3 linked regions of the Pelodiscus sinensis genome follow. The protein of the gene in region 3 interacts with the protein of the main gene of each other region in a pairwise test. Links are inferred from orthologs where the notes say so. Each region holds a gene or a part of one and is shown on either strand. Other genes may lie near its edges. The genes, in order: PLEKHN1, CXXC1 and TAX1BP1.

Region 1 (6,965 bases), on a different chromosome or scaffold from region 3:
GTGGACACTAGAACTGGACACAGCATTCCAGCAACTGTGGCAAACACAGGGAGATGCTCAATACTGCCCACTTTATACATCCACCTATCACGTCAGCTCTTTGGGTCACAGCATCTACCTGGGAGCTTGTGTTCAGCTAATTAACCACCATGGCTTCTAGTCCTTTTCAGAGTCATGGCATCCCAGGAGAGAGTCCCCATCCTGCACATACATCCTACATTCTTATATCCATATGTAAGGTTGTACTTTTAGGAGCAATTACAATGCATATTGTTTGCTTGCCCCCATTGTTTGCTTGCATCATGTGATCCAGATCGCTCTGTACCAGAGACCTGTCCCCTTACCACTCTCCCATACTCTGTGTCAGCCTCAAAAAAAATTATCCCTATGATACCCTACCAGATACACACTGGCTCAGCGAGGATTCCCCATTTACAATTACATTTTGAGATCAATCAGTTTGCCAGCTTTGAATCCATGTAATGAGGGCCACGTTAATTTTGTTTTTCTCGTTCTTAAATTAAAATACCATGCTGGGCCAAGTAGGGATCTTAGTGTATAACCGAGTAACCGTTCAGCTTATTGGTTGATGGTCTTGGTTACACTCAGCCACCTCCCCGGCAGCTGAGTGGGCAAGGGCTGACCTACGGGGGGGAGGCTTCGCTGTGGCAGGGGCTGGTGTCTCCACTCCCAGGGAGGTTTTGCTGCAGGCTCTGAGATTTTCACAATATACACCAAGGGTAGGCAAATACCAGACCACGGGCCAAATCTGGTCTGCCAGGGTTAGCCCCTGATGGGCCCACACGCTGCCATATTTACCTGTACCTCTGTGGGTGTGAGGCACAGCTCCAATGGAAGCTGTGATCGCTCGTAACTGTGGAGGTGCAGGTAAATACAGCAGCAACGGCCCACCAGGGGCTAATCCTGGTGAACCATCACAATTTTATTGCCCACCTCTGGGTTACACCATTATCCTGTTACATGATGTTTAACACAGCTACCCCTCTGATACTTGACTTGGTCCTAGGAATGTTAGTCTGAATCTGCAAAAGCGGCAAGGAGTCTATAAGGTGCCACAGAACTCCTTGCCGCTTTTCTAGGACCAAGTCCGATGCTTTACAGAAATCTATTACATTAACACTATGATCTTTGTCAACCAAACTAGTAATCTCCTCCAAAAAGTCCACGTTAGTCTGACAAGATCTGTTTTCCATAAACCCATGTTGATCAGCATTAAATATAGTACCCTCCTTTAAGTCTTCATTAATCAATTTTCATATCTGCTGTTCCATTATCTTGCCTGGAAGCAATGTCAGGCTAGCAGCCCTACAATTACACAAATTATCTCCTGTACCCTTTTTAAATATAAGCACATTAGCTTTCTCTTACTTCTCTGGAGCATGCCCAGCATTCTGAAACATACTGAAAAGCAACATTCATGGGCCAGAGAGCTTCTGGGCCAACTCTTTTAAAACTCTTGGATGCAAGTTACTAAGGCTGCTGATTCGAAAATATCAAAATTTGAAAGTTTTGACAGCTACTGTTTAACATTCTCTTTAGTTACTAATGAAATGGAAAAAAAGTCATCATCTTGGCTTTTTTCTAACCATAGAACAGAAATATTTATTTTCTGTACTGCTGTTGTCAAAGCTACCATTTTCATTCAGCAATAGACCAATACTCCTATTAGGACTCCTTTTGTTCTTAGTATACTTTCAAAACCTCCTTAGTATCTTTTTCTCTGCTAGCTAAAGATTCCTCCTTGTGTCTTTGCGTGCTTCCTAGCTTCTAATGTAGAGTCATCTTACCCTTTTCCCCATTTATTATATACTGAGAAGTTATTTTTGTTTGGTTTAGAGGGAAAGTGAAAGCAACTACAAAAAACAGTTTGTTTTCTTAAAGACAGTTCCTGCCCCAAAGAGCTTACAGTCTAAATTTTTTCCTGCCTGTGTCTTTTGGCCATCTAAGTAAATGTTTTTAAACAGTCCCCAATTATCACATGCTTTTCTCTCTTCAAATTCTTACTTCCTGCTGATTTGGCTCCTAAAGACTTTGAGCTTTGTGAAGTTGGCCCCTGTGAAGGGGGTGCACTCACCACCGTAACCCCCCTGCCATCTGTCCTCAGGAATTGGCTCCCTCAGCGGGTAGGGGAAGCAAAATGCAGGACAATGTAGCACTTTAAAGACTAACAGGATGGTTTATTAGATTATGAGCTTTCGTGGGCCAGACCCACTTCCTCAGATCAAATAGTGGAAGAAAGTAGTCACAACCATATATACCAAAGGATACAATTAAAAAAACTAAAAAAGGGTGCCTTCTCTGGGGTGGTGTCTCCCCTCTTTACTCCCGGCTGCGGCATCCTCTTTGCCACACTGCCCTCCAGCAGTGCCCAAGTCTGTCTCTGAGCCCCCCTTCCGGGGGTCGATGTTCCTTCATTGGGCCTTCTTTCAAGCCCTGCAGTCTGAGGATTTGCTGGCCAGAGCTCCCCTAGCCCTGCCTGGCCTCCCCCAGCCCTGCCCTAGCTCCAGGGAGCCTGAGCCACCTCCCTCCCCAGCCAGGTTCTCACTACTCCCCTTTCACAGCAGCAGCCCATCCTCTATTATAGCTCCCAGCTGGGCCCTAATGGACTAGTACAGCCTCAGCTGGGCTAAACTCCCTGGCCCTGGTTCAGGCCGGAGTCTGCCCTTAAAGGGCCAGTGCAGGGCAAGCGCCCTGTCACAGCCCCTTTTAAAGCACCGTGTGTATTTGTATAACTGGTTTGAAGTTTATGCTTGCGTGTACATAAATAACTAAGGTTCTCACACAGAATCATAAAATAATAGAACTGGAAGGGACGTTGAGAGGTCAAGTCCAGTCCCCTGCATTTACAGGTCCAAGCACCATCTAAACCAGGGATGGACAATAACGTGTGAAGGAGAGCCACTTCCCAAATTTCTGAGGGCTGCCCCAGAAGGGGCGAGGCCTCGGGAGGAAGAGGTGGGGCCAGGAGGCTTCCTGTGCAGCTTCACCCACAGACCCTAATTGGCCAGGGTGTGGGGGAGAGCACTGAAGTCTTTCCCCACCTCCCCCCTCCAGCACCTAGGGTACTCTAGACTACAGGCTTTTGTAGACAGAGGCTTTGTCGACAGATAAGGTCAACAAAGCTTCTGTCAACAAAGAGCGTCTAGACTACATCCAATTCTGTCGACAAAGTAAGCTGTTTTGTGGACATGAGAGTGTAGAAACAAAGCACAGTGTAGATGCAATAACGCCTTCTGTTGACAGAACTCTGTCGACAAAAGGCATTATTCCTCGTAGAATGAGGTTTACTGCTGTCGACAAAACTGCCGAGTTCTGTCGACGTTGTGTCTACAGAACTCGGCGGTAGTGTAGATGCAGGTATCATTCTGTCAACAAAAGTCCACCTTTGTCGATAAAACCCTGTAGTCTAGACACACCCCTAGAGAGAAAGCAGCTTGTGATTCCCTCTGATGACTGGGACCCCTGGTGGGGGGAGGAGACTTGACACGGAGGCTGTCTTGCCCACCCCTGATCTAAACCATCCCTGACAGGTGTTTGTCTAACCTGCTCTCAAATATCTCCAAGGATAGAGATTCCGCAGCCTTCCTAGGCAATTGATTCCAGAGCTGAACATGCAGCGAAGCTGCCACTAATTTGTGGTTCACTGTTTAATTTGTTTTTAGCTGCCCAAAGGAGGGCTAAAAGAGAAATCCCCCCTGTGGGAGCCAGCACTTTTGGCGCTAGGAACAGCAGTGGGACATGCTTCTACAAGAGCGCCATGGGTTTTGCAAACCAAGTCATTCCGCAAAATAAAGGCACACGAGCCCCAGGCATTGGCCGGACGCTGTGTGTCCGGGCGCCTTGGCTTGTGCAGGGGTCTGCCTGGGTGATCCGATTGCAGCCGCGAGACCCACGTGCGTCCTCCGAGGGAATCTCGCCGGGATTAAAACCCCCGTCCCCCAGCCCAGGAGCCAGGGGGGGCCACCCAGGCTTTGTGGGGTTCCTCGGCTGCGCAGGTCCCTCCCGGTGCGGCGTGGAGCTGCGGGGAGGGGGGGTAGCGAGGAGAGCCCGGTGGGAACAGCCCTGGGCCAAAAGGCTGTTTGCGCACAGATCACACCCACAAGAGTCACCGCGGACGGAAGTGGGGCTGGGAATGTCTGCATGACTCGCTCGCCCGGCTCCCAGCGCCTCACTCCCTCGCTCCCTCTCGCCCTGCCTGGCGCGCCCCGCTGCAGTCCCCATGGGGAACACGACCTGTGTCCCCCAGCCGGCGGGGCGCTTCCGATACTCCTTCAGCAGGAAGCCTTCCCTGAAGAAAGAGTAAGTACCGGCTCGGGGGGGTGTCTCTGGCCCTGGTTTAAAGCGCCCCTCGGTTCCCCAGCCCGTCTCCGGACAGTCGCGGGGGGCTACACTCGGGCGTAGCCAAATGTGCATTGAACGCGCACGATCTGGCGGGGGGTGGGAGAGCCCGGGGCGAGCTCGGGTTCCTGCCAGGCTCGGAGAAGAGGCGTGGGACGGCTCCGGCGGGCGGCGGCCCCGCGAGGAAGAACAGGGCCGGCGTCTTTCCTTTTCCTTGGGAAAAGTAGAGCTCGTCCCCACGTGGCTCGCCGGGGAACGTGCCGGTGGCTGCTGCTGCTTTGAGCTTGAGCAGGATCAGACAGACCCCAACCCCTCCCTTCCCCCCCGGGATGTCTAGTTGCATCATGTCTCCCAGCCTTGTCACCCTGAAGAGGGGGACGTGCCAGACACTCCAGGAAGTCTCGTCGGGACTTTGGTATTGGTATCAGTGGTACCTGGAAGGCGCACCGATACCAGGGTGATGGGCAGCAGCATAACCCCTGAGAGAAGCAGATCGTTGAGGTTTTCCACGGAGCCGCTAGGAAAGTCCCATGCAAGTATCAGAAGTCTTGCAGCTCTCTGCACCCACCCCTTTGCTAAGTCCCCTGATCCCAGCAACACCATATATTGCTTCCTGCTATGCCCACCCATGTGTGTGTGTGAAGTGGGACCTTCCCCAGGCTGCTGCCTTCCAGGCATGTTTGATCCGGACCATAGCGTGAGCCAGGCCTTTGTGGAGGGCAGTGGTTTTCTTTTAAGTGGTCTGAAGCTGGAGAAAGCATTGTGTTGTTGTATTATCTTGCACCCTGGAGTTCAAGAGAGCATTCCGAAACCCTCAGGGCTCTACAAACCAACAGCCAGGATGTCAGGAGTGTTTCTTGTCTTCTTGACATTGATTATATCAGCAGTAACATAAGGGGGGCAATAAAACGGGCCGGGGTTCCCCAGGGTTAGCCCCTGGTGGGCTGCTGCCACTATATTTACCTGTACCTCCATGGGTATGGGCAATCGCAGCTCCCATTGGCCAGAAACAGTGATCCATGGCCAGTGGGATCTGTGATTCCCCCCCCCCCACACACACACACTTGTGGCAGTGCAGGTAAATATGGTGGTGTGGGGGTCCGCTAGGGGCTAACCCTGGCAGACTGGATCCGGCCCGTGGGCCTGTATTTGCTCACCCCTACTCTAAAGGGAGGCCGTTGCAATGGAGTAAAACAGATGCAAGGGAAAGGAGAATCAGACCCAAGATCACTGGCCCCGAGAAGTGTGCAGCATGCCGGCCCAGATCCTGTGCAGTGCGCCTCCCATAGACCCCACTGAGCTCTAAGGTCACTTGGCTGCTTGCAGGATGAGCTCTTCAGTCCATTGCAAATGACCAGTGTTACAGTGTGGTGCAATGTGGTTTAAAGAGAGAGGAAGCCTTGAAAAAAGCAGCACCCGTGACCTGCCTGGGAAATTGCAGCTGGGGAGCTGCAGCAGTGCGCATTAACACGGGTGTGGGTGTGCGCCCCCAGGCACAGGGATGGAATTTTACTGGGATTCAGAGGACAGCATCAGGAGAGGCACAAGATGGAATAAAATGGAGTGGGTGAGTGCTGGTTTGACACTTCCAGCGCAGGCTCCATCTTTTGCCTGGGGGAGTTGGGAGGCGAGGCTGGAGATGCAGACAGGGCTTGTTGATCATTTTGGTGACGCAAAGGTAAGTAAATAAACCAAAGCCAAGCCAACAAGTGCCATGCAAAGCCATTAACATTCTTGCAGGCTGATTAGCAGCTGTTTATTGGGCTGGGATTATTAGAAGGCCTGTGACAAACTGCTTGCTTGGCTCCCCAGCTTCCTTATTTCTGAGTGGGGGGTTTGCAATGTCCCAGCTTTGATCTCAGCGTGTTTGTTTTCTTTGCAGACAAGACAGCAAGAAAAAGCTGGCCAGCCTCTTTGGTATTGAATCAGGGCATGAGAGAGACATAACGGCAGATAAAATACTGCAGTATATTCCTGGGAGGGTAAGTACAAACCCATCCAGCCATACCCTTGAATGAGGGGAAGTTATTCTTACCTGCAGCGGGGTTCACTTGAATAGGAGCTCCCATGTGTATGAGATGAGCAGGCATTTCTGCACGTGTCCAGGCGAGGGAGATCAGAGGCTGGGGATGGGGGATATTTGTAGGAAGACCAGGGATCAGAAGCAGAGAGCTATCTCCTTCCAGGCAGGCTAGCTCACCACTCCAGTTCTCTAATTCAGCATCCTGTGGGTGGGGATCACGAAGTCCTGTCATCAACTTGAAAATCTGGAATCTGCAGTGCTGGCAGGGAGGTAGGCAGAGCCTCACCTGCTCTTAGGTCGTTTGCTTCTAGGTCGAGTAAGGATGAGGGGAAACTAGGGAGAGCGTACAAAAGAGAGCGATTCATTCCCATGCTGGAATGAGATGGAGCTGCAAATGTATTAGCAATCAGCCACAGGAGGGGGAGAGGTAGGGGCAAGCCTGCCTAAGGCACATCCAAACTTTGCAGATGCATGGCTCATTCCCAGCATTCTCAATGGAAGAAGAGCTTATGTGACTAGCAGTAGTGTTGATTGGTATTATGGTCACATCTACAAGCCACAACCAAAATCAGGACTCTGTTGG
Region 2 (7,874 bases), on a different chromosome or scaffold from region 3:
AGAGCTTGGAAAAGCTGGCCGCCGAGATCCACAGCATGGCCGAGAGCAAGGAGCATTTGCTGAGCGAAGGTGACGAATCTCTCCGGCCCCGCTTCCCAGCTGTGAAAGGGGCAGAATAATCCTCCCTCGGGGCTGTCTCATTCGAGTGCAGATGCGTGGGTCAGGACCTGCCTCTTGGTTGGGGTCTGGGCGGTGCCCATCAGAATGGGACCCTGATCTCTGTCGGGGATCTTGGGGGTCTCGCTCCAGGAGTCGGGCCTCGTGCCTTCTCCCTGAGACCCCTGCACCGGAGTGATGTGGCCCCGTGCCGCCGTTTCTGTCCTTTGCCCTAGACCGGCTGATCCAAGCCAGCCTGGCCCAGGTTGAGAAGCAGCTGGACTCCCTGCCCCAGGCCAGGGCAGCTCTCAGCCAGGAGAGGATGTTCCTGAAGAGCCAGGAGGCTAGCACGGCCCTGTGAGTGTGGAGCGCCCCCAGCCCTGTGCCAGCCACCAATGGAGCATATTGCATCAGTACAGCCCGAGCAGGATGCCTGGTCCCACCCCTGGATCTGGGAGGAGAGTGAGGGCTAGCGGTTAGAGCATGGTGATTGGCAGACAGGATTCCTTGGATTCTCTCTGTGGCTCTGGAAGGGGAGCTGGGTCTAGTGGTTACCGCTGGGAGCCAGGACTCCTGGGTTCTCCCCTTGGCTATAGGAAGGGAAAGGTGTCTAGTGGTTACAGCATGGGGGGACTGGCAGACAGGACTCCTTGGATTCTCTCTGTGGCTTTGGAAGGGGAGCTGGGTCTAGTGGTTAGCACTGGGAGCCAGGACTCCTTGGTACTCTCTGGAGCAGTGAGGACAGCCCAGGTGCTGGCGTGAAAGCAAACATCTGGGCTAGTGGGGAGAGTGCCTAGGGGCAGCGTGGGCAGAGGCAGAGAGGCAGTTGGCAAGGTGAATGCAGGGAGAGCTGTTTCCAGCACAGCCTGCCTTGCCGGGGGATGGCTGCTGTCCATCACCGAGGCGGCTGGGCTGCTCCATGCTTTCTATTGTCTCCAGGCAGCTGTTCCAGCAGGAAAACAAGAGCGCGACTGAGCATCTGGAGGCAGCGTCACTCCGGCACTCAGAACTGCAGCAGAAGTACAAGAGGTGAGCGTGGGGGCAGGCTGGGAGCCCAGACCCCTGGGTTCTAGCCTGGCTCGGAGGGTGGGACCGAGGGGGTTAGTGCAGTGGGGCTGGGCGCCCCAGGCTCTGACTGGTGTGTCCAGGAAACTCCCCTGGCCAGTCCCAACCTGGCGGGGTCCTTTCCCCCTCCTTCCACTCTCCCTGTGTTCCCAGAGGGTTCTGGGATTCCTCGCTGTCCAGTGGCTCCGGGCCCCCAGAAGTGGCGGTGAGTCTCTGCTGGGAGGAAGGACTCTGCCACACCCCTTGTGCAGTGTAACCCTTCCTCTCTGTGACGGGCGCCGCTGCCCTGGCGATGGGCCCAGCCAGGTGCCCCCCTTGTTTGATAGAACCGTTATTTCTGGTCCCTTCCAGGCTGGCGGCCGAGCTGGAGGCCCAGCAGGTGAGGATGGCGGCGACAAAGGGAAACTGTTGACAGGACTCTGTGCTGCCAAAGGGGCAGGGCTTGGCTGGCGAGTCCATTGACCGGCACATCCGCACGTGGCCAGAATTCCCCCAAGAGACAGACAGACAGAGAGGGGTGTGCAGGAAGGACACGGGTGCAGGGGCATGTTGGGATGGGGAGATGGATGGAGAAGTGGGGAGAGGAGAGACGACAAGGTGGGGAGTTTAGAGGAAGAGCTGGCAGGCAGGAAGTGAGTGAAGACTGGCAGGCAGGAGGTGTGCGAGGGCTGGCTGGCTGGTGGGAAGTGTGCGAGGTGTTGCTGGGAGATGTGAGAGGTGTGGCTGGCTGGTTGGTGGGAGGAGTGTAAGCCATGGCTGGCTGGTGCAAGGTGTGCGAGGCGTGGCTGGCTGGCTGGTGGGAGGTATGTGAGGGCTGGCTGGCTGGTGTGAGGTGTGCAAGGAGTGGCTGGCAGGTGCAAGGTGTGTGAGGCATGGCTGGCTGGTGGGAAGTGTGCGAGGCGTGGCTGGCTGATGGGAGGTGTGCGTTGTGTAGCTGGCTGGAGGGAGGTGTGCGAGGGCTGGCTGGCTGGCGCAAGGTGTGCGAGGCGTGGCTGGTGCAAGGTGTGCGAGGGCTGGCTGGCTGGCGGGAGGTGTGCGAGGCGTGGCTGGCTGGCGGGAGGTGTGCGAGGGCTGGCTGGCTGGTGCGAAGTGTGCGAGGCGTGGCTGGCTGGTGGGAGGTATGCGAGGCGTGGCTGGCTGGTGCGAGGTGTGCGAGGGCTGGCTGGCTGGTGGGAGGTGTGCGAGGTATGGCTGGCTGGTGCGAGGTGTGCGAGGCGTGGCTGGCTGGTGGGAGGTATGCGAGGCGTGGCTGGCTGGTGGGAGGTGTGCGAGGGCTGGCTGGCTGGTGCGAGGTGTGCGAGGCGTGGCTGGCTGGTGGGAGGTATGCGAGGCGTGGCTGGCTGGTGCGAGGTGTGCGAGGGCTGGCTGGCTGGTGGGAGGTGTGCGAGGTATGGCTGGCTGGTGCAAGGTGTGCGAGGGCTGGCTGGCTGGAGGTGTGCGAGGTGTGACTGGCTGGTGCGAGGTGTGCGAGGCATGGCTGGCTGGCGGGAGGTGTGCGAAGCGTGGCTGGTGTGAGGTGTGCGAGGGCTGGCTGGCAGGAGGTGTGCGAGGCGTGGCTGGCTGGTGCATGGTGTGCGAGGGCTGGCTGGCTGGTGCGAGGTGTGTGAGATTACAGTGTCTGCTTTCCAAGTTCCTGCTGGTGCCCACCTCCGCTGGGATGCTCAGCAGTCGCTCACACTCCTTTGGCCGTGCTGGCTCCCTCAAGATAACTGGTGGGGCTGAGTGGTCCCTTTGGTGGGACCCACGGCCCTTCCCTAAATGCCCAGCAGTGGGGTGGGCTGGCTCCTGCAGCCATTCCTGGGCCAGAGTGCTCAGGGCTGGCTCCGTCCCTCGCTGTTGGGGTGGGATCCAATGCCTGGTGCCAGTGTGTGTTCCCATCCAGCTGTGACCCACCGTCCTGACTGGGGGCACGGTGACCCCCCCAATCTCCCTCACCTGCTCTGCCCCACAGCAGGGAACTGGGGGCAGTTCAGCCAGCATGGAAACAGCTGCCTAAAAGCCACGGCCGCTCTGCAAGCACCCCAGCTCCTAGAGCGGAAATCGGCCTGGAGTTACGTCGCCTCTGGACACAACCGTCTCCTTGTGGTGAATAAAGACTTCCTGCTTACGCCCCTGCTGTGCCCGGTTATTGGACTCGGGGCAGGGGCGAAGGGTCCGGTTCTGCGGAGGATGGGGGTCGCGTGGGGAGGGGCCACGGGGAACTAGTCTGCTGAGAGAGCTTGTTCGCCTGCGAGCGAGCGAGTCCGTCTGTCCATCCATCTGCTTGTTTGAGAGCTCCTAAATGAACGAGCTAGGACCCGCAAATTCGGTAGGCGGCTTCCTCTTCCCAGAACTTAACGCAAGGCCAGGACAAGGGGACGTGCCCGGGATGCGACAGTTTTCCAGAACATAGAAAGGGAGGGGGCTGCTAGCAGGGACAGTTATAAGTGTAATGACCACAGGGGGGCAGCAAGGGGCCAGCGATGGGGACTGGGGCAGCAGCGGCTCCGGGGAATCCCACCCGGCCAGCATGGTCCCCACCATGGCCAGTCCCGGGGGGGCCACCGCCCAAGCAGTGAGGTCTCCGCCGGTTCCTACGCCCCATACGCCCCAGCCCTGAAGGACCTACCTGAGCAATGCTGGGTAAATCTTCTAGTATTTAATAACGGGCCAGCAGGAGACCGTCTAACCGGATCCCGTGGCTGGAAGTTGAAGCTGGACAGAGTCAGCCTGGGAATAAGGCATCCGTTTTGAATGGGGAGAGGAATTAGCCAATTCCCCAAGGAGCATGGTGGATTCTCGGCCTGGCTCTCAGCTCTGGGAGGGAGCAGTGGATAGCAGATGGGATATGGCTGTGTTTGGCCGTGCACATCTGAGTGGTGTATCCTGTGGAACTCCTTGCTGCAGGGTATCAGGGAGGCAAAGAACAAAGGTGAATTGAAATAAGTGAATTTCACATGGGAGACCACGAACAGAAGCACCCCCCCAGCTGGGACATGCACTCCTAGTCTCCAGACTTCGGACACTCGGCGCCCACGGCCTGCTCCCTGGAAGGTGGGGGGCTATGGTACGCGGTTGGGGAGACACTGTCCTGCATGCTCACGGCTGCGTGGAGCGCGGGTCCCAAAGGGGCCTATGGCAGCCAGGGGAAGTTGCAGGAGGGCAGGCACAACCGCAGAGGCTGCCAGGAGGGGGGCAGCGTGTGCAGCTGCGTTGCAGCGGGGCTGGGCCACGGAGCACCAGGGGTGCCCTGGAGCCCCCATGCCCTCCAAGCTGGCTGGGCCTTGTGTCGCTGGGAGCCAGGGCTCCTGGGCCCTCCCCTCCCCAGACAGTGGCCCAGAGTTGGGATCCAGCCCTGGATCTCCAGCCCCTAACACTGGCTGACTAGCCATCCATCTAGCGAATCTGAGTTTGATTCAACCAGCCTTGCTGTGCCAGAGTCAAAGATGGCCGCCCCCTCAATGCTGCCAGTGACGAGGCGCCGGAGCGGCCATGTTGGAGCCTGGCGCCGAGGTCGCGCTGATGCCAGTGGGCGTGGCCGGTCCCCGCTCCACGGGGTGACCATATTGGATACGTTCCCCCGCCTCTGGGACGTGGGGGCGGCCATCTTGGAAGCGGGCCGAAGCTGAGCGAGGGGCACGCCAGAGGCCGCAGGGCGGCCATCTTGGAAGCGGGCAGATGGGCGGGCTGCCGGGGGAGGGAGGTTTGCGAGGGCGCCTTTGGCCAGGGTTGGAGAGTGACCCCGGAAGCGGAAGTAGCCGCCCGGGGGGGGGGGGCCTGTCGGGACTTCCTGGCCAGGAGCGCCTGTTGTCTTGCTTCCATCCACAGCAAGGGAGAGACCATGGTAAGGGGCGGGGGGGCTGGGAGCCAGGACTCCCGGGGGCTGGGGGGGGAGGGGCCAGGACTCCCCGGGTCTGGGGGGAGGGGCCAGGACTCCTGGGGTCGGGGGGGAGGGGCCTGGACTCCTTGGGGGAGGGGCTGCTGGTTGGGGGGGGATCCAGAACTCATGGGGTCTGGGGGGGAGGGGCCAGGACTCCCGGGATCTCGGGGGGGAGGGGCCAGGACTCCTGGGATCTCGGGGGGGAGGGGCCAGGACTCCTGGGGTCTCGGGGGGGAGGGGCTGCTGGTTGGGGGGGGGGGAGCCTGGACTCCCGGGGTCTGGGGGGGAGGGGCCAGGACTCCTGGGATCTCGGGGGGGGAGGGGCCAGGACTCCTGGGGTTTCGGGGGGGAGGGGCTGCTGGTTGGGGGGGGGAGCCAGGACTCCTGGGGTCCCTGGGGGGAGGGTCTGATGGTTGGAGGGGTTGGGAGTCCTGAGTTCTCTGATGCCCTTTCTGCCCCCCCCCCCCCCCCAGGACAGCGAGTTCTCCGACCCGGAGCTGGCCGCGGTGGGCGAGGAGTCTAAGTCGGAGAATGGCGAGAACGCCCCCGTCTACTGCATCTGCCGCAAGCCGGACATCAACTGCTTCATGATGTACGGAGACCCCGGGGAGGCGAGGGGTCGCTCCGGCGCCTGGGTCCCCCTGCCTGTGTCCTAGGTTGCTGCTGCTGGGAAGGGGGCCGGGTAACTCCCCGCCCCTGCAAGGGGAGCCCCAGGAGGCACTTGGCCCACGGGCTGGGCAGGGGGTTGTTTCCTGGGGCAGGCAGGGCGGGGGGAGTGGGGCAGGGGCTTGCACAGGGAGCGCTTTGACTCTCCCGTCTCTCCCGCCCCTGCAGCGGCTGTGACAACTGCAACGAGTGGTTCCATGGCAGCTGTATCAACATCACGGAGAGGATGGCGAAGGCCATTCGGGAATGGTACTGTCTGCAGTGCCGAGGTGAGGACGGGGGCGGGGCGGCGCGGGGAGGGGAGGGGGGCGGCACCCCTGGCCTTTCTGGCTGTGATGTGCGTTCCTCTCCCCTCCGCAGATAAGAACCCGGCCCTGGAGATCCGATACCGGCACAAGAAATCCAAGGACAAGGAGCGGGAGGGCGAGCGGGATCGGGCGGAGAAAGACGAGCTGAGGAAGAAAGCCCAGGAGCTGGCCCTGGATCAGAGCCGTGGGTCCAAAGTAAGTGCCCGGGAAAGGGTGCTAGGTTGGGGGTGGAGGGAGCCGGTGGGATTCTGTCCCATGAGCCCATGGGGCTGCGTTGCCAGGGAACTGAGCGGCAGGGTTCTAAGAGCAGCTCCAACCACCTTCCGGCTCCAGTTGCTGCCCGTCCCCAGCGTTAAGGGGCAGAGTTAAGGGTAAACAACCTGCAACGTGGTCGGATTTCCTTGGGCAGAGAGCTGCGCCGGTGTTGCCCTGATGCGTGGCCACTCCCCAGAAGTGGCTGCGTCTCGGAGTTGGGCAATCCGTCCCGTTTGGAGTGGCAGTGCTCCCTTCTCGTCCGTTGAGCCCCCAGGCTCAATGGAGGGATGATAGGAGTTACTATAGAGAACTGGGTATCTGGCTGGTGAGTCTTGCCCACATGCTCAGGGTTTAGCTGATCGCCATATTTGGGGTCGGGAAGGAATTTTCCTCCAGGGTAGATTGGCAGAGGCCCTGGAAGTTTTTCTCCTTCCTCTGTAGCATGCGATACAGATCACAGCTGGAGGATTCTCTGCATCTTGGGGCCTTCAAAGTATTTGAAGGCTTCAATATCTGAGATATAGGTGAGAGGATGATTCTAGGAGGGGTAGGTGAGATTCTGTGGCCTGCACTGTGCAGGGGGTCAGACTAGACGATCATAATGGTCCCTTTTTTAATGGGGAGCAGGTTTAAAACTAATAAAAGAAAGTTCTTCTTCACACAGCGTGTAGTCAACCTGTGGAACTCCTCGCCAGAGGAGGCTGTGAAGGCTAGAACTATAACAGCGTTTAAAGAGAAGCTAGATAATTTCATGGAGGTTAGGTCCATAAAAGGCTATTAGCCAGGGGATAAAATGGTGTCCCTGTCCTCTGTTTGTCAGAGGCTGGAGAGGGATGGCAGGAGACAAATCGCTTGATCATTGTCTTCGGTCCACCCTCTCTGGGGCACCTGGTGCTGGCTGCTGTCGGCAGACAGGATACTGGGCTAGAAGGACCTTTGGTCTGACCCAGTACGGCCGTTCTTATGTTCTTATGTTATGTTCTTCTGACCTTAAAGTCTAGGAGTCTATGAAACGGGCCTGCCAGGTTCCTTGGCCCATTCTCAGACCACGGTTCTGGAGCATGGGCTGGTGGGGTGAGACCCGTGGGCACTGGGTGAATTTCCGACCCCACCTCATTGGCTGTGGCACTGCTACAAATACAGCTGTGGACACTCATCTGGCCTCTTAAGTCAGGAAGTATTCTCCCTGCTCGCCAGCTGGGTGTGAGAATGAAAGAGTCCCGGGAGAGAGACCCCTTGGGTTTACGCTGTAAATATCCTCAAATGCCTGCTCCCGGCACATCCTGTGGTCTTTCCCCCTCCCCCCGGCCGGTCTTGGCATCCATGATTGGGTTGGGTGGCAGGTGGGGTGTCAGGTATCAATTTAGGAGCTTGAAAATCCCTGAGTACGTCCATGGGGGAGCTGCCATGATCCCTGCTGAAAATTAGGGGCTGAGGGAGTAGGGGGAAGGAGACGGGAAGTCAATGGCTGAGCACGTGCTCCAGCTGACCGAGGCTAGAGCCATCTCCAAGCCATACGCTCGGGGCGGAGACAGCCCTGCGGAAGAGCTGGGCTGTCTGATTTCCAGGGAAATGTCTCCTGACTGGAATAGACCCTGGGTGGGCTGCTCTCCGCTCGGGCACTG
Region 3 (7,658 bases):
TGTCTGGAAGGGATGAGCAGGGAAGGGAGAGAAGAGGGAGACAGCAGAGAGGGGCAGGACCTGGGCACAGCAGGGGTGGGGCATGGGTGGAGTCACAGGTTTGGGAGCTTGCCTCCCCAAGCATCACTTTCATCCACCACCCATGCTGGGTACAGAACCCACGATCTTTGTGATGACTGGCATGGTGCCTAGGTGGCTCCTGAATCTAGTAGAGGGACTGATTGAAGCCAGCAGCAAGCTCCGAGTAAGAGTCACTTGGTGCACCTGTTATGAACGCAGACCTAGAGCAAACTGTAGTTCAGGATCAATGGAAAATTCTAGGTCTGCATTATGAAGAGCCATTCAATTCCCCTCCTACATCACAGGAACAGCTCACGGCAAACCTGATGGAGGCAGAAGCCACTGCAGAGGACAGTAGGTATGACTCCAATTTGCAGAGAATAGTTGTAATAATAAGAGGAATTACTGCTCTAAGGAGAAATACAAAAGTTATGATAAGCCCCAGCTACCAACGTGTTCACTACTGCTGGATTATATCACAGCACCTTGGCACTTCCCCTCCCCTGCCATCCTACTGCATGGAGTTCAAAGTGGTGACTGGGAATTTAAATCATCCATTAAACGCTGTGAATGGTATTGTTACTATAAAGTAACCAATGTTTTCTTTTTAGTAGTAAGGGCTTATAATTTGCCAATCTATGGAGCCACCTGGAAACAGTGCACTCCAGGAGTTTCTATTTCCAAAACTAGCACAATTCAGTTGACACAGCTCATGAAGTTTGGAGATCACAAAATCATTTCTCCCAAGTATGAGTGAGGTGTCAGTTTTTGCACATAATGTGTTGCATGTTCAGAGAGGAGGAATGTGGTAGAGTCCTGCATGTTTGCATGCAGCAATAACAGGAGAATCAATGAATGAGCTAAGATAGCATCTTGTTGCTTCCCTCAGGAATTCTGACCAAATTTTGGTAGCTGATAGCTGAAAACTTTTCCTTAAAGAAAGAACTCCAGATAGCCTAATAGAGAAAAGAACGTGTTTTTCAGGGTCTCCTTTATAGCACACTACTCAGAAATGTGCTGTTTTTTCACAATTCCTTTGAATAATTCTGCCAAACACATCGCAGCTTGAAATAACATCTCCCTTTGCCAACAGGGCCCCACAACAATTTTAATAGCCTTCAGAACATGAAAGGCCTGAAATGATAGCAAAAAGCTTTTTACAGCAAGGGCATTATCTGCATCAACTGGGAAGAAAAGGTTTTTATAATTTTAATTTTAACATTGTCTCTGTACTTCCGTAACTGCAGTTAACAAGGTTGTGCCCAGAGGAAATATGTCAACTGATGCAGCCTTTCATAAAGTATGAGGGTTCAGTTTAGAAATGAAACATTTTAGGACCTTGAAATTTCACAAGAATGAATTCTGTGCTTCTGACTGAGCTACTTTATCCTGTAGTGAGCTGTATGAAGAAGTGGGCTGTGCCCACAAAAGCTCATGATGCCATCTAACAAAACATGTAGTCTATAAAGTGCTACCAGACCATTTGCTGTTTTTTAAGTTTATCCTGTACATACTAACTCGGCTATCCCCTGAAGCTACTTTATACAATAACCTTCTATTTCTTGTCCTATTTCAGGCCTTCCCACCCTCTATTGCCTGTTCAACCATAATAGACAGTGACTTAGGTAAGGCAATACCGACGATTTCATGGTCGCTGGATTTTTAAAAAAGGTAACTTTATTTATTTAAGCTATTTAAAGGTGAAATCTCATAGCGTTGTAATTGTGGGGGTCCTGACCCAAAAAGGAGATGTGCAGTGGTCGCAAGGTTATCATGTGTGTGTGTGCATGCGCACAGGGGGCAGAGAGGGTGTTGCAGTACAGATACCTTTACTTCTCCACTACTGCTGGCAGTGGTGCTGTCTTCAGATCTCAGGAGCCAGAGATCTATGGCTGCTGAAGGCAGCATTGCCACCAGCAATAGCACAGAAATAAGAATGGCATGGTATTCTATTGCCACCCTAACTACTGTGCTTCTGCTTGGAGAACTGGCCCTCAGTCATCAGCCACCACTCTCCAGCTGCTCAGCTCTGACGGCATAACAGAAGTAAGGGTGGCAATACCACAAACCTCCCCAAATAAACTTGTAATTCCCCCTGCTACTCTCTTTAGAAATCAGGTCCCCAATTTGGGAAACACCTGTGAAATCTGATTCCCCGTGAAATCTATATAGTATGCATAACACACACAAGATCAGATTTTTTTTTCGGGGGTGGGGGGGGGGGAAGAAGGGGAGGAACCAGATTTCACAGTCTTTGGTGCATTTTTCATGGTCATGAATTTGGTACGGTAGAGCACGGGTGCTAGGGATGTGAAAGGTTGGTTGTTTAGGCAGTAGGCACCACACTAAACAGGTGATGCTTACCCGGTCTGGTTAACTGGTTATTGGTGGGGACTTGAGCAGCCCCCCCGCCTGCCATGTGCGGGGGAGGGAGTAGGTCCAGTGCTTCAGAGGACCTGCTGCAGGTAGGCACTACTCCCGCATCCTGGGCGCCCTATAGGCAGGGTCTGCTTCTGTGGAGCAGCCTCTGTCCGTGAGAAGCCTCTGTGGACAGAGGTTGCTCCAGTGGGGGCTGGAAGCCAGCAGCAGTCCCAGCTCCCATGTGGGGTTGGGAGCTAGCAGCCATCCCCAGTGTAGGGATGGGAGCTGCACAAGCAGGGACTGCCCCAGTTCAGATCTTGCATAGTCTGTTAACCCATTAAATGTTTAACCTAATGTTTAACTGATAAACTGGGATGTTACATCCCTAGATCCTGGGACTCTGATTCTTCTCCCTTGAGGGAGGGGAGAGCATTGGGAGCTTATCTCATCTCTGTGGGATCTGGGATATCTAGCTTTGCTGGGTGGGCACAGATCGGGTAATGGGGTGAATCAGGCCCGAGCAGGTCTGTGGGATGGGCCCCCCCAGCATGGGGTGTCCCTGCACAGTTGGGCTGCTCTGTTCTTTCTGTGTGGAGGCTGGGGGCAAAGGGAGGGAAGAGGGAGCAGGCAGGATGCAGAGTGACATGATGATGTCACTATCATCCCACAGGAAAAAAATATGTATATGTACACATACACACACACACAGAAAATTAAGAGAGTGAGACATTTGTTTTTATTGATCTAAAAAAATAAAATTATGAAGGGCCTTTTAAGCTTAAAATTTTACTTAAAAATAATATAGTAGTTTCAGTACACCTTTTGCTGAGCCTCCTGGCATATTTTGTGGTTCTAAAGTCACATTCCCCCTTTTTAAAAATACACTTATATTTTCCATATACTACAGTATGTGAAAGACCCCCAATAAGCACAGGGAAAACTAACTGAACACAAGGGAAACAGAAAAAGGTGTCAAATGCAGAAAATAAACAAATCTAAAATAACCACAGAAAGATTCTGCCATTTATTTCACTTATAACAATCTTAGCTGTTATTACATACTATAGAACAATTTCAAACCAAAATATGGACCTTAAATCACCAGAGTCCTTTTAAAAGCAAAGGCAGGAGACAAGGGAAACGTTATACTAATCCTGCATATACACTTGTTTTACTTCACACTCAGCTGAACTCCTCCTGTCTGTAAACTGAAGTATGGACATAAATGTGTGTAATATAAAGGCCTTGAATATTTAAAAAGTGCTTCTGGGTTCAGCTTTGGCTCAAAAATAATGAAATATAATCAGAGAGAAAGCAAACAAGTATGAGTACCGATTACAGATATGAAGAACATGTTTTAACTCACTAGCTTCACATAAACTTCTGTGGGCTGTTTTAAAATCTACATATGCTATTTTAAATAAACATGTAAAATATTTATTACACTAAGCTACTCATAACATTAAGTATTGATATAAGCCTCATATAATTTTACAACCTGTATGGCTTTAATAGAGTGCACAACACTTGTAAAAGGTGCAAAACACAGGTGATAATCCTCGCGTGCTAGAAAACACATTTATCAGGGCTTTCAAAACCTCAATGCATGTTTCATCTGAGGAATTAGACGCTTGTCAGGGGTGGGGAAATAGTCCTCCAAGCACACTGATGCACTCGTTAAATCCGGCGTGCAACTCCCGTGCGCCTCCAACTACCACCCACCCCACAGCCCCTGCTTTCCCGTGATAAGAAGTTGTGGGGCAGAGCTGTCACTTGACTGACCCACATGCCATTTTAGCGAGGGGGTAGGAAGCAGCACCCCACGGGCGGGTTCAGGACGGAGGCCCGGCCTTTGGACACAACGGGACCACGCTCTGCAACCCCAGCTCGCCCTGCGAAAATGTCACCCCGCATCCCCAGGCAGAGGGCGAGGCGGGTGCTTACCCATTGCCGTGCCGGCAGCATGCACCTTCCAGTGCGCGTGCAGGAGCCTGGCAGAGCCTCTGAGCAGTAACACCGCTGCCATGCCGCCTCCACTCAACGTGACCTCCACTCAAACACCGCCCCCGCCTGGCCCTCTCTGCCTGTGACCGTGGACGGGGCGGGGGAAGAAGACGAGTGGCAGCCAGCGTAGCCAACCACAGCGTGGCCTTGGCAGCCGCACACCAATGAGAGGGGCCATCTTCCTGCCAGTGACCTGCCGGGTTCGCCTCCAACCCCATGACAGACAAGGCAGCTGTGCCTGCTCCACCGCCCACGGATGGGCGGGTCTGGGGGGGTGGTGCCCGCTCGTGAGCAAGCGGGACTGGGCCAAGGTGAGGCTCCCTGCACCTCTTGCAGCCGGCGCCTTCGCTTACTCCCCTAGGTGAGTGGGGTAGCCCTGTGTCCCTGCCAGTATTTTCATTGCCCAGTGGGGTGCCCCCTCCCGCCCCGTCCTTCTGGCAGAAGCAGCATTTTTGTACAAATATTGGTGGTGCCTAGAGCCCCTACCTCACTCAAGCCCCCACCTGCCTAAGGCTCTGGGAGGCCGTTTGGGTGGGGAAGGGGTACAGGCTCTGGGAGGGAATTAGGGTGCAGGAGGAATTCAGGGGTGCAAGCTCCGGGATGGAGTCTGGGTGCTGCTTCTGGCCTGGTGCAGGGGGTGGGGTTCCTGGGTCTGGGAGGGAGTTTTGGGGGAAAGCAGGCAGGGGGAAAGAGTGTAGGGGCTAGAAGGAGTGGGGCACACGAGGGAGTGGGAGGAGGGGTTAGGGGATACCATGCTTCTGCGAGGGACCCATCCTCTGGCAATGGCTCCTGGAAGAAGTAGGGATCTCGAGGTGCTGCTGCCCCAGCTCTCAGCTGCTGGAAAAGCACATGGCATGGAAACACTGGGGGATGGACAGAGCCTGTGGGGCAGCAAGATGCCAGGAGATGCAGGGCATGGCAGGCAGTGACAGTGAATTTGGCGGACCCCAGACCCGGGCCAGGAATATTCCTGGTGCCAGAGTATCACAGGCACGTATACTGTAACTCACTGCCTTTGCCCTCTTGGTGGACCTTCCTTCACCCTGCAGGAACAAATTGCTCTTATTTACCTTTTTCCGATCAAGCTACCTTCTGTACTTAGGAGAGGATCAGAGTAGTTGCATAACTCCAGCCAGTGATTAATCAGAGAGTCTATGCTTTCTCCAGGCAGCATCGCATTAGGGTTACGCACTCAGGTTTTTCCCTGCCCTTCTTCTCTCTTGCTGTGGCAGCTTTTAGCTTGAATATTCCCCTTCAAGAAAATGCTTTAGACTGTTTGGTGTCTAAAATAAACACTTGAAATGTTATCCTGCTTCTCTAAATGCCACCCTAATATAGCCCTATAATTCACCCCTCTCCTAGTATTTTCATGTATTTTAACATATCAGTTATTTTTTCAAGTATTCTTGGACATAAAATCTTACATATTACATAGCCCACATTGTTTTTTTTCCCTTTTAGCTGGTGGGGTCATGTAGCATAATTATAATTAATATGAAGGACTAGATCTTATATGTACAGATAAATAGTCCCTTTTCTCATGTTTTGTTCTTACTGTTGAACTTTAAAATATTTTGTTTTGAAAAGGCTGTTCTGTTGTTGTTTTTACAACTGGTGACCACACCTGAGGGGAAGAGTTTCATATTGCCTAGCTAGACCTGCTGAGGAATCACAATTGGCACACAGGGTACTGTTGCCCAGGGACTGGTTCTAAGAATGGGAGAATCATGGGAGTCTGTTTTCATCCCAGGGTAGGTAAAGGGATGAGGTGTATAAGAGCTAAAGCCTGAGAGGGGTGTACTTGGAAAGGGCAGAAAGAAGTCAAAGGTGTAGCCAGGCCAGTGAACTGTGACTTTTCCTTTTACTTCTTCATTTTATTTCATATTGTGTTCCACATATAGGCCTCTGCAGATGGAGAGATGTAATTTTCCACTTGTCATAGTCAATATAGATAATATTGTTTAAAATGTAATTTAATTGAGTAGAAATCCATCAGAAGGCAGAATTAGTAGATCCATTAATGAAGTGTATAAAACAGCTGATAAAAATCTTTTCCTACATTGGTTCCCTGTAGTAATCAGAGGCCCCCTTCATCAGTCACATTACATCAGGGTGGGCAAGATACGGCCCATGGGCTGGATTCAGCCCACCAAGCTGTTTCATCTGGCCTGCAGCCCACCCTGCCATGCCCCCACCCCCCAGGCCAGTCAAGACCCTTCCCCTGTTGGGGCACATGGCACCAGAGGGAACTGCCAGTTCAAAATGGCTAGCAGTTCCCTCTGTGTGCTGCATGCCCTTAGCACAGTGGGGGGGAGGGGCGGGGTGGGAGAAGACCTCCTGTGCTTCCCTGCCCCATGGAGGGGGGGCATGCAAAGTCTCCTTCCTCTCCTCACCCTCCTCCCCCACATGGTGCTTAGAGGGAGCTGTCCCTTCCAGCTGAGGTCCCACACTTTCCGGGACTGGCTCATGACCACTAACAACATTGGTGAAGTGTTCCTCCCTACAAAAATGATTGCCCACCCCTGCATTATACAGTATAGGAACTAAGGGTCATTTGGCAATAAAGTTAAAGCTTTAATAAACTCAGTGGTTTTCAAACTTTTTTTTCTGGGGACCCAATTGAAGAAAATTGTTGATGCCTGAGACCCAGCGGAGCTGGGGATAAGGGATTTGGGGGTACAAGAAAGGGTTTAGGGCTTGGGTGAGGGCTGTCAAGCGGGACTGGGGATGAGGGGTTCATGGTGCAGGAGGGTCTCTGGGCTGGGATAGGAGGTTGGGTGCAGGATGGGGTTAGGGCTGGTGATGCAGGCTATGAGATGGAGTCGTGGATGAGGGATATAGAGTGGAGGAGATTATGGGTTGGGGGGGTCAGGGCTGGGGCAGGGGATTGGGGCACAGGGTTGGGTAATGGGCTTACCTCCCATAGCCTTTAGTTAGCAGAGGTTCAAAGGCAGGCTTCCTGCTTATCTTGGCACCATTGACCATACAGTGCCCCAGAAGCAGCCAGCAACAGGTCCAGCTCCTAGGTGGAGGCATGCAAGCAGCTACGCACAACTCTTACCTGCAGGCACTGGCCTGCCCCAGCTCCTATTGGCTGGTTTCTAGTCAATTTCAGTGTAGGGACAGCATGGGGAGCCCTGTGGCCTTACTGCCTAAGAGCTGGACCTGCTGCTGGCCACTTCTGGGATGCTGCATGATGTCAGAACAGGTAGGGATTGCCCAAGGCAGTGGTT

What was found.
Region 1: the proteins of TAX1BP1 (region 3) and PLEKHN1 interact in binary tests that used the Homo sapiens proteins (3 or more experiments, as listed by UniProt). The two-hybrid records come from large-scale screens. The link is inferred for Pelodiscus sinensis from reciprocal best matches to the Homo sapiens genes TAX1BP1 and PLEKHN1.
Region 2: the proteins of TAX1BP1 (region 3) and CXXC1 interact in binary tests that used the Homo sapiens proteins (3 or more experiments, as listed by UniProt). The two-hybrid records come from large-scale screens. The link is inferred for Pelodiscus sinensis from reciprocal best matches to the Homo sapiens genes TAX1BP1 and CXXC1.

The regions. Positions count from the first base shown.
Region 1 is NC_134733.1:14,661,350-14,668,314, forward strand, and holds the start of PLEKHN1 (pleckstrin homology domain-containing family N member 1), read left to right. Parts: upstream 1-3,955; 5' UTR 3,956-4,240; coding exon 4,241-4,320; intron 4,321-6,241; coding exon 6,242-6,341; intron 6,342-6,965. UniProt on the Homo sapiens protein: Controls the stability of the leptin mRNA harboring an AU-rich element (ARE) in its 3' UTR, in cooperation with the RNA stabilizer ELAVL1.
Region 2 is NW_027465846.1:162,662-170,535, forward strand, and holds the start of CXXC1 (CXXC-type zinc finger protein 1), read left to right. Parts: upstream 1-4,853; 5' UTR 4,854-4,981; coding exon 4,982-4,984; intron 4,985-5,493; coding exon 5,494-5,612; intron 5,613-5,854; coding exon 5,855-5,955; intron 5,956-6,046; coding exon 6,047-6,189; intron 6,190-7,874. Other genes in the region: synaptonemal complex central element protein 1, read left to right, coding at 3-69, 333-453, 1,036-1,125, 1,513-1,540, 3,113-3,157. UniProt on the Homo sapiens protein: Transcriptional activator that exhibits a unique DNA binding specificity for CpG unmethylated motifs with a preference for CpGG.
Region 3 is NC_134712.1:196,219,491-196,227,148, reverse strand, and holds the start of TAX1BP1 (tax1-binding protein 1), read left to right. Parts: upstream 1-4,647; 5' UTR 4,648-4,786; intron 4,787-7,658. Other genes in the region: HIBADH (3-hydroxyisobutyrate dehydrogenase, mitochondrial), read right to left, coding at 4,366-4,447.